Danio rerio: one gene and its partner. The main gene of each other region encodes a partner of the protein of the gene in region 2 in a complex. Links are inferred from orthologs where the notes say so. Each region holds a gene or a part of one and is shown on either strand. Other genes may lie near its edges.

Region 1 (3,122 bases), on a different chromosome or scaffold from region 2:
ATAGAATGATTGTGTGTGTGATGACTTGGCCTCGTCAAAGACTGATCATGCTCCTTCTGAAATTTGTTTATAAAACATCACTTTGTGTTCATTTATTTATTCATTTTCTTGTCGGCTTAATCCCTTTATTAATCCGGGGTCGCCACAGCGGAATGAACCGCCAACTTATCCAGAAGGTTTTTATGCGCTGTCGCCTCACAGCAAGAAGGTCACTGGTTCGAGCCTTGACTTGGTCGGTTGGTGTTTCTGTGTGGAGTTTGCATGTTCTCCCCGTGTTGGTGTGGGTTTCCTCCGGGTGCTCTGGAGTCTGGTTTCCCCCACAAGTCCAAAGACATGCGCTATAGGTGAATTAGGTAAGCTGAATTGTCTGTAGTGTATGAGTGTGTATGGATGTTTCCCAGTACCGGGTTGCAGCTGGAAAGGCATCCACAGCGTAAAACATATGGTGGATAAGTTGGCGGTTCATTCCGCTGTGGTGACCATTAATTAATAAAGGGACTAAGTCGAAAAGAAAGTGAATATTTCTTCGTTTTATCATGTTACAGTATTTTTGATCAAATAAATGACTTTTTTTTTTTTTTTCAAAATATCAACATTTTAGACTGATGATTAAAGATATTGAAAACTAAAAGATCAGACAGAGGATAAGCTGAGTGGAATGCCATTTATGAGTTTTATTTTTGAATCCATCTCCACATCAGCCGTCGAGTGATTGTGAATACGTGGCCATATTGAAGGTTTAGCGTGTTATGAGTGTGAATGAACAGCCTCTGAGAGAGAAAGAGTTCAGCGTGACACAGTGGAGGAGGTCAGGGTGTGCGAGTGCTCACTTCGGTCAAATTTAGGGTTGACTGATCTCTTCTGATGTGAGAGAGGACGGCAGGCTGTCCAGAGCCCCAATTTCTGCAGGATGAAGAAAAAAGTACAAATGGGGACAATAAGAACAATTCACTTCCTCAGTCAAGATGCAGTTGAAGTCAAAATGATTCACTTTCTAGTGATTTATTTATTTTTTTCTTTTACAATTATTTCCCAAATGATGTTTAGCAGAGCAAGGAATTTTCACAGTATTTCCTATAGTATATTTCTTCTGGAGAAAGTCTTATTTATTTTATTTCGGCTAGATTAAAGCAGTTTAGATTTTTTTTAAACATCAGGAGGGCTACTAATTTTGACTTTAGCTATATATTGGGTGAACAGTGGATTTTTCTACTTTTTAGAACTAGAGAGGTTTATGATTTTATGATGAGGTCTGTTTATTAATATTGGAGTAAATTGGATAATTTCTAGTAAACGTTTTTTTTTTAAAGTTTTTTAATACGAGATAAGAGTGGAAATTGAATATATTCAACGAAATGAATTAGTCACACAGCAGATGATTTTCATAAATGTTTGTCTCAGAATATATTATAAAAATATCATCATGCATTATGTACCGGGTCAGAAAGAGGGTTTTTTGTTGTTGTTGTTGTTGTTTTTTTTGCAAGTAAGTTTTTTTTTGTACTGTTTTTGTCTTACGAAATCCAATATAAATATTATGACTATTTAAAATAATTTCAAAGTAATTTATTAAAAAAATAATTCAAATATATATTTTTTATTATATTAATGATTATTAAGAAATATTTTCTAATTATATTAATATGATTTATTTAGAAAAATGTTTTATTTTCAATGTTGGTAATATATTTTACTATTTTTTATAAATTTTTATTAATTAATTATTTTAATATTTAGTTGCTTTTTAGATTTTTGTGAAAAAAAATATTTGAAACTTTTTACATACAAAATATATTTGAAATGTCTTCTTTTACTGATTTCTTGCATTTTAATATACTATAATACATATAATAAATATACTATATATAATTCTAAATTAAATTAATAAAAAATATTTATAAAATTATATCTATAATAAATTAAATAATATGTAAATTCATATATATATATATAGCACTTAGCATAAATGAGTACACCCCATTTTGAGAATGAATATTTTTATCCATTTCCCAGTCAACATAGGTATTGTATTTTGGTCCATTTAAACAAAACAGATTTATTAAACAGATATTTTTATTAAAATAATATTTTTGTTACCAAACATATTTAGAAATGTAAAGATTATACAATTAAATTCAAGCAAAATATTTTTTAAAAAATACAACCTTCAAGATTTCAACTAAATTTTTACAATTTTAAGCTTCTCTTAATTTTGACTCTTTTTAAAAAATTGTATTTAATATTTCTGTTTAACATAAATTTGGTTGTACTAGTATGTGGACCGTTATGGAAAGTTATTTTTGTTATTTGGAGTTATAAGCTCCAGATTTGGCTTCAGTACTGACTAATCTCATGTATATGCACAAATATAATATTGTATAGCTTCCTATCACTAATATGAATTTAAAATAGAGATTTGTGAGGGGTGTTCTGTGTATAGTTTTTTTATATTAATTTATTTGTTATGTAACTTATTTATCCCCGCTTACCTTTTAATTTGAGATACGAAAGAAAGTCAATGATGGTATGGACGACATCCTCATCTGCTATCCTCAGAGCTCCTTAAAAAAACATAAACAAACAACTCATTATCGTTTATTATTTCCATTTCAACATCTGTGCATCTGTACATTAACAATTAATGAATATTTCAATCCACTCCCAAAGCCTAAAACAGCATTATTAACAATGTCAGTAATGAGCCCCGCCGGCGCCACATGTGTCTTACCTGTCTTGAAATCCTCATCTAAAGGCATTTCTCTCTTTCCTGCCAGTCCGTGTTTGTCGCTGAGGCTCCTGTGACTATCAATGGCATCTGATCATAAAAGCACAACCACACACACACACAATCCCAATGATCATTTGAAGAGGCACTCCAATATTCACCAGCAGACCCTGCAGCCCCGCCGCTCATATTCATATTCATTTAGACCTCCCCGTGGCACACATATGGTGCTAATGCCACATTATGCCAGGAATGTCTGGTTTTGTTTTATTGGTTTGTTTTATTGTTGTTGTTTTTGTTTGGGACAGATTGAGTAGAGCAACCTGCAGGACTTGAGTCATGGAATTGCTTTTTTTTTGTTGCAATGCGAAGCACACACACGCTCACAGGCTTGTGA
Region 2 (4,304 bases):
TTAAAATGAACACTATGTGGTGGTATGACGCCATTCTTTTTTGCGCTTACCAGCTGACCTCTTAATTCTGTATGGACAGCTTTCCCACTGTTACTAGTTTGTCCAGTTAGCTCACCATGTACGTTGGCTTACTTGAGATACAGAGAGGAGTTGACCAAGATGACAGGGTTTGAGTCCAGTGAAGAATGGTTCCAGAAAGCAGATAAGACAAAAACAGAATCCAAAATTAAATAAACAAGTAAATATCAGGGTGAGAATGTGGTAAAATCTGAAAATGTGTTAATAAGATGAGGATTTTCTTTGTCTGGACTGCTTTTTAAAACTGTTGGTTGAGTTTAGGGAAGTGGGTGGGCGGGTCAATCTTTGCTTTTGAAAACACTTAGTCAGTCAGTCAGTCAGTCAGTCAGTCAGTCGACAGCAGCCTCTGGTAGATTTGTGAAAACAAAAACTGCAAAAAAAAAATAAATAAATAAATAAAAAAATTTACATTATGGGACACATTTGCCGCTCTCCAGAAATGTATATAGAGGTATGTTTTCAGAATGAGCCTGGATTGCAAATCTATAAAGTGATTTGAGTGTTCATATAAGTGATTTATAAATGTAATGAATTATAAATTATTATTAATATTAAGCCAATACTCTAAATCAGGTAAGTATGACATGCAAAATGTCCAAGTGGACCGGATTAAGAACAACTAGTTATCCTGTCACTGCAGATCTACATGAATCAAAGTAAAGTATTGTTTAAATGTCAACTCTGTGTATTACGTGCGTTAATAATAATAATAATAATAATAATAATAATAATAATAATAATAATAATAATAATAAACGTCCAAAGTTCATCTTTAGTTTCTGGGAAATACGCACTGTCAAGCTATTTAAACGTACTTTTTCCTTTCGGAATTTTAAATGAGAACACACTGCTTAATTATTTATACAGTTTATACATAAAAACATAATAAAATAGTGCACAAGCACCCTCTCCATGGGAGTGGGTAGAGCTAAATATCCATTTTGGGGCATATGTTTCACTAAACACATAAGACAGAATTTTCTACTAGTCATTCTAGACAGATTCTAGATGTTTACATTTACTTTAATTATACATTTTTAAAATGATTTTATACAAACAAATGCCTTTTAGAAAATATTAATAGTAAACAAGACCTCTTTTGATCACTACTATACATTTAGTGTGCTTTATTACAAACTTTTGTGATTCATTAAAATAATTTGTGTGATTCACAAAACAAATAATTTATATACAAAAATTAAACATGCTTTTAAATCATCATCACTACCGCATTTTTGTTTTATTTTTTTTTATGAAAAACATTTGGTTGAACATGTTTATATATATATATATATATATATATATATATATATATATATACAAATTAGTGCCAACAATATTGTAATTCTAAATAACTAAACTTGACCCCTTCTGACCTGTAAATGCATAATACTCAAAAGGGGTCTAATGGAAAGTAATAAGTGATAAACAAAAGGAGAGGGGCCGCTAAAAATGAAAGATGTGCTTTTCCCATGTCCATGTAAGAGGATGGGTGAGTAAGGCTGGGGAATTGGTGTCTCGGTGACGTGCGCACAGGCAATATTTTATTGCAGAGGCAGAACAGTTCTTCTCCACCTAGCGCGCGCTCAAAACGCACGAAGAGCACCTGCTGATGAAAACATGAATCTGTGAGCGCTGTCAGTACGAGAAATCAAAAGGATTATCGATATCATCATAAACTTTAACAGGTTAACATGAAAAAAGTATGAAAAGAATATTAATTTTGTGATGCGCGTAAATGAGCACATTCTACTTAAACCCCGTTGCTGATGCTGCTGCTGCTGGACTCCAGTAAACTTTACAGGATTTTCAGCCTCCTCTGAAAAATCAATAACCCAAGGAAATTAACTGCAGAAGACTTCCTTTTCACGACGAAGCATCAAAATAAGCTCACGCTGAAGATGGGCACCCAAAACAACAGTGATTTGGACAGACCTAGAAGCAACATAGACTTAGAAGCACCTGAAAAAAACCTATTTGGCATCGGCACAGACAACTTAGTCACGCTTCTGATTTTCGGACTCATATTTACTCTTGGCGTCCTTGGAAACTCTCTGGTGATCACCGTTCTGGCTCAACGCAAACCCGGACAGCAACGAAGCACCACCAACATCTTCATCCTCAACCTCAGCGTGGCAGATCTGTCCTACCTGCTCTTCTGCATCCCTTTTCAGTCCACAGTCTACATGTTGCCCACATGGATCTTGGGCGCCTTTATTTGCAAGTTCATCCATTACTTTTTCACCGTGTCCATGCTCGTAAGCATCTTCACCTTATCAGCCATGTCGGTGGACAGGTACATCGCCATAGTGCATTGCAGAAAGTCTTCGTCCATTCGAGTTGCGAGGCATGCGCTGATCGGGGTGCTGGTCATATGGGTGCTCTCTTTCGCCATGGCCACTCCGGTCGCCTACTATCAGGGCATCGTGGAAAGTGAGGACAACAGCACGTTTTGCTGGGAAGTGTGGCCAGATCACGACAGGAGAAAAATCTATGTGGTCTGCACTTTTGTTTTTGGATATGTGCTGCCGCTGATTCTGATTTCTTTCTGTTATGCCAAGGTTGGTGGATTGCCTTTAATTGTAGCTCGATAATGTAAAGTTTTGATCCTTATTCATGCAAAATATGGATAGTTTATAGTCTATTAAACAAGTCACTGGAAAAAAAAAGATGCTTAAGTAGGCTAATTGAGAAGCAGGAATCCTTTTTTGCCGAGCTCCTAAAAATAATCTTTGTACTTGTTTACATATTTACATTATATTTTATAGGATTTTCTTTCGATAAAAGTTTCAAGAATCTGTTAAGTTATGTTTTATGTTCATTTTATTCCACTGTTTTATTTGACCTGAACAAAATGTCTTCTAGGTCCTGTTTATTTGATGCCTTTATCACATAGCAACAAAATGTAATCCTGCATTAATATTTTAACTCATATGAATATGTATTATTAAAAATAAATTAATAATAATAATAACAATAATAATAATAATAATAATAGAGTTTCCCAGCTTGCAGCTGAAAGGAATTTGCTGTGTAAAACCTTTTTCTAGATAAGTTGGGGTTAATTCCACTGTGGCGACCCCTGATGAATAAAGGGACTAAGCCAAAGAAAAATAAATTAATAAAAAAAAAATAATAATAATAATAATAATAATAATAATAATAATCATAATCATCATAATAATACAATTATAGTTTAAACTATTTTGATCTATTGTTATTTAAAAAAACAAAATCACTTTTTTATGTACACTTTTAACATTTTATATGAAAAATGCAATACTTTTTCTTAAACGAGAGGGAGAGAGAGAGAGAGAGGGAGAGAGATAGAATTGTGTGCAAATAATTGTAGGCTAGCAGTATCTACCTTATTTTTAACATAAGAGTGGGCGTATCCATTTTGTATACAAGACTTCTGGTGTCACTCCTTTCATTTATGTTAACACAAAGCAGCTCATTTTATTGCCTGATATTGCAAAAAAAATATATATATGCCTTTTTACAATATTATAATATATTGTCATAAACGCAAATTGATTTCTAGTATGAAGAGTTTTACAATTTATTACACCTTTATTTTTTTATTGCAGCCCTAATAAACCAGAAGTCTCACACACATTTTACAGAAAATAGTTCATTTCTGCATCACAAATTATAATGTGAATATTAAGAAACCTTTGCCCCATTTCATTTTTATTTCAAACCATTATGTGCCTATTTGTTCTCAGGTCCTCAATCATTTACATAAAAAGTTAAGAAACGTCTCCAAAAAGTCAGAGGCCTCAAAAAAGAAGGTAAGAAAAGTTAAATGTATTTGTTTCAGATATGTTTAATTACAAATTTATTTTGTTATATATTTATATACAGCTGGGAAAATAAGCATTGAACAAACTTTAGTGATTTAGTCAACATTTTTCTCAGAAATCATATCTCTAAAGCTGCTGTTGACTTAAATTGTTCCCTGGATAATGGTAACAAGCAAATAAATCCATACATGCAAAGAAAACAAACCTATTTAGTTGACAAATTAAGTTATGCGTAATAAAATTAAATGAAAAAGTATTGAATGCATGAAGAAAGGGAGAAGTAGAATGGAAGTAAAAGCCCTGACAGCAGCAGAAATCCCTCAGTAGTTTTTCAGCAACCCTCTGCCCTTCAATCCAACATCTACATTACCAGGATGATGAAGATGAAACCAGAGTGGACATTTCATTGTTACAAAATGT

Evidence for each region.
Region 1: the proteins of galr1a (region 2) and gal are in contact, whole or in part, in a cryo-EM structure (PDB 7WQ3), measured with the Homo sapiens proteins. The link is inferred for Danio rerio from reciprocal best matches to the Homo sapiens genes GALR1 and GAL. Residues at the interface, in NP_001471.2 of Homo sapiens: Glu32, Gln92, Thr94, Val95, Tyr96, Leu98, Pro99, Thr100, His112, Gln174, Phe177, Arg180, Gln184, Phe186, Cys187, Trp188, Glu189, Gln190, Ile266, His267, Ala270, Phe275, Leu277, Ser281, Phe282, Arg285; in NP_057057.2 of Homo sapiens: Gly33, Trp34, Leu36, Asn37, Ser38, Gly40, Tyr41, Leu42, Leu43, Gly44, Pro45, Val48.

The regions. Positions count from the first base shown.
Region 1 is NC_133200.1:11,373,189-11,376,310, forward strand, and holds the end of gal (galanin peptides preproprotein), read right to left. Parts: intron 2,816-3,122; coding exon 2,729-2,815; intron 2,562-2,728; coding exon 2,490-2,561; intron 904-2,489; coding exon 842-903; 3' UTR 657-841; downstream 1-656. UniProt on the Homo sapiens protein: Endocrine hormone of the central and peripheral nervous systems that binds and activates the G protein-coupled receptors GALR1, GALR2, and GALR3.
Region 2 is NC_133194.1:24,322,182-24,326,485, forward strand, and holds the start of galr1a (galanin receptor type 1), read left to right. Parts: upstream 1-1,304; 5' UTR 1,305-1,979; coding exon 1,980-2,639; intron 2,640-3,806; coding exon 3,807-3,872; intron 3,873-4,304. UniProt on the Homo sapiens protein: Receptor for the hormone galanin. The activity of this receptor is mediated by G proteins that inhibit adenylate cyclase activity.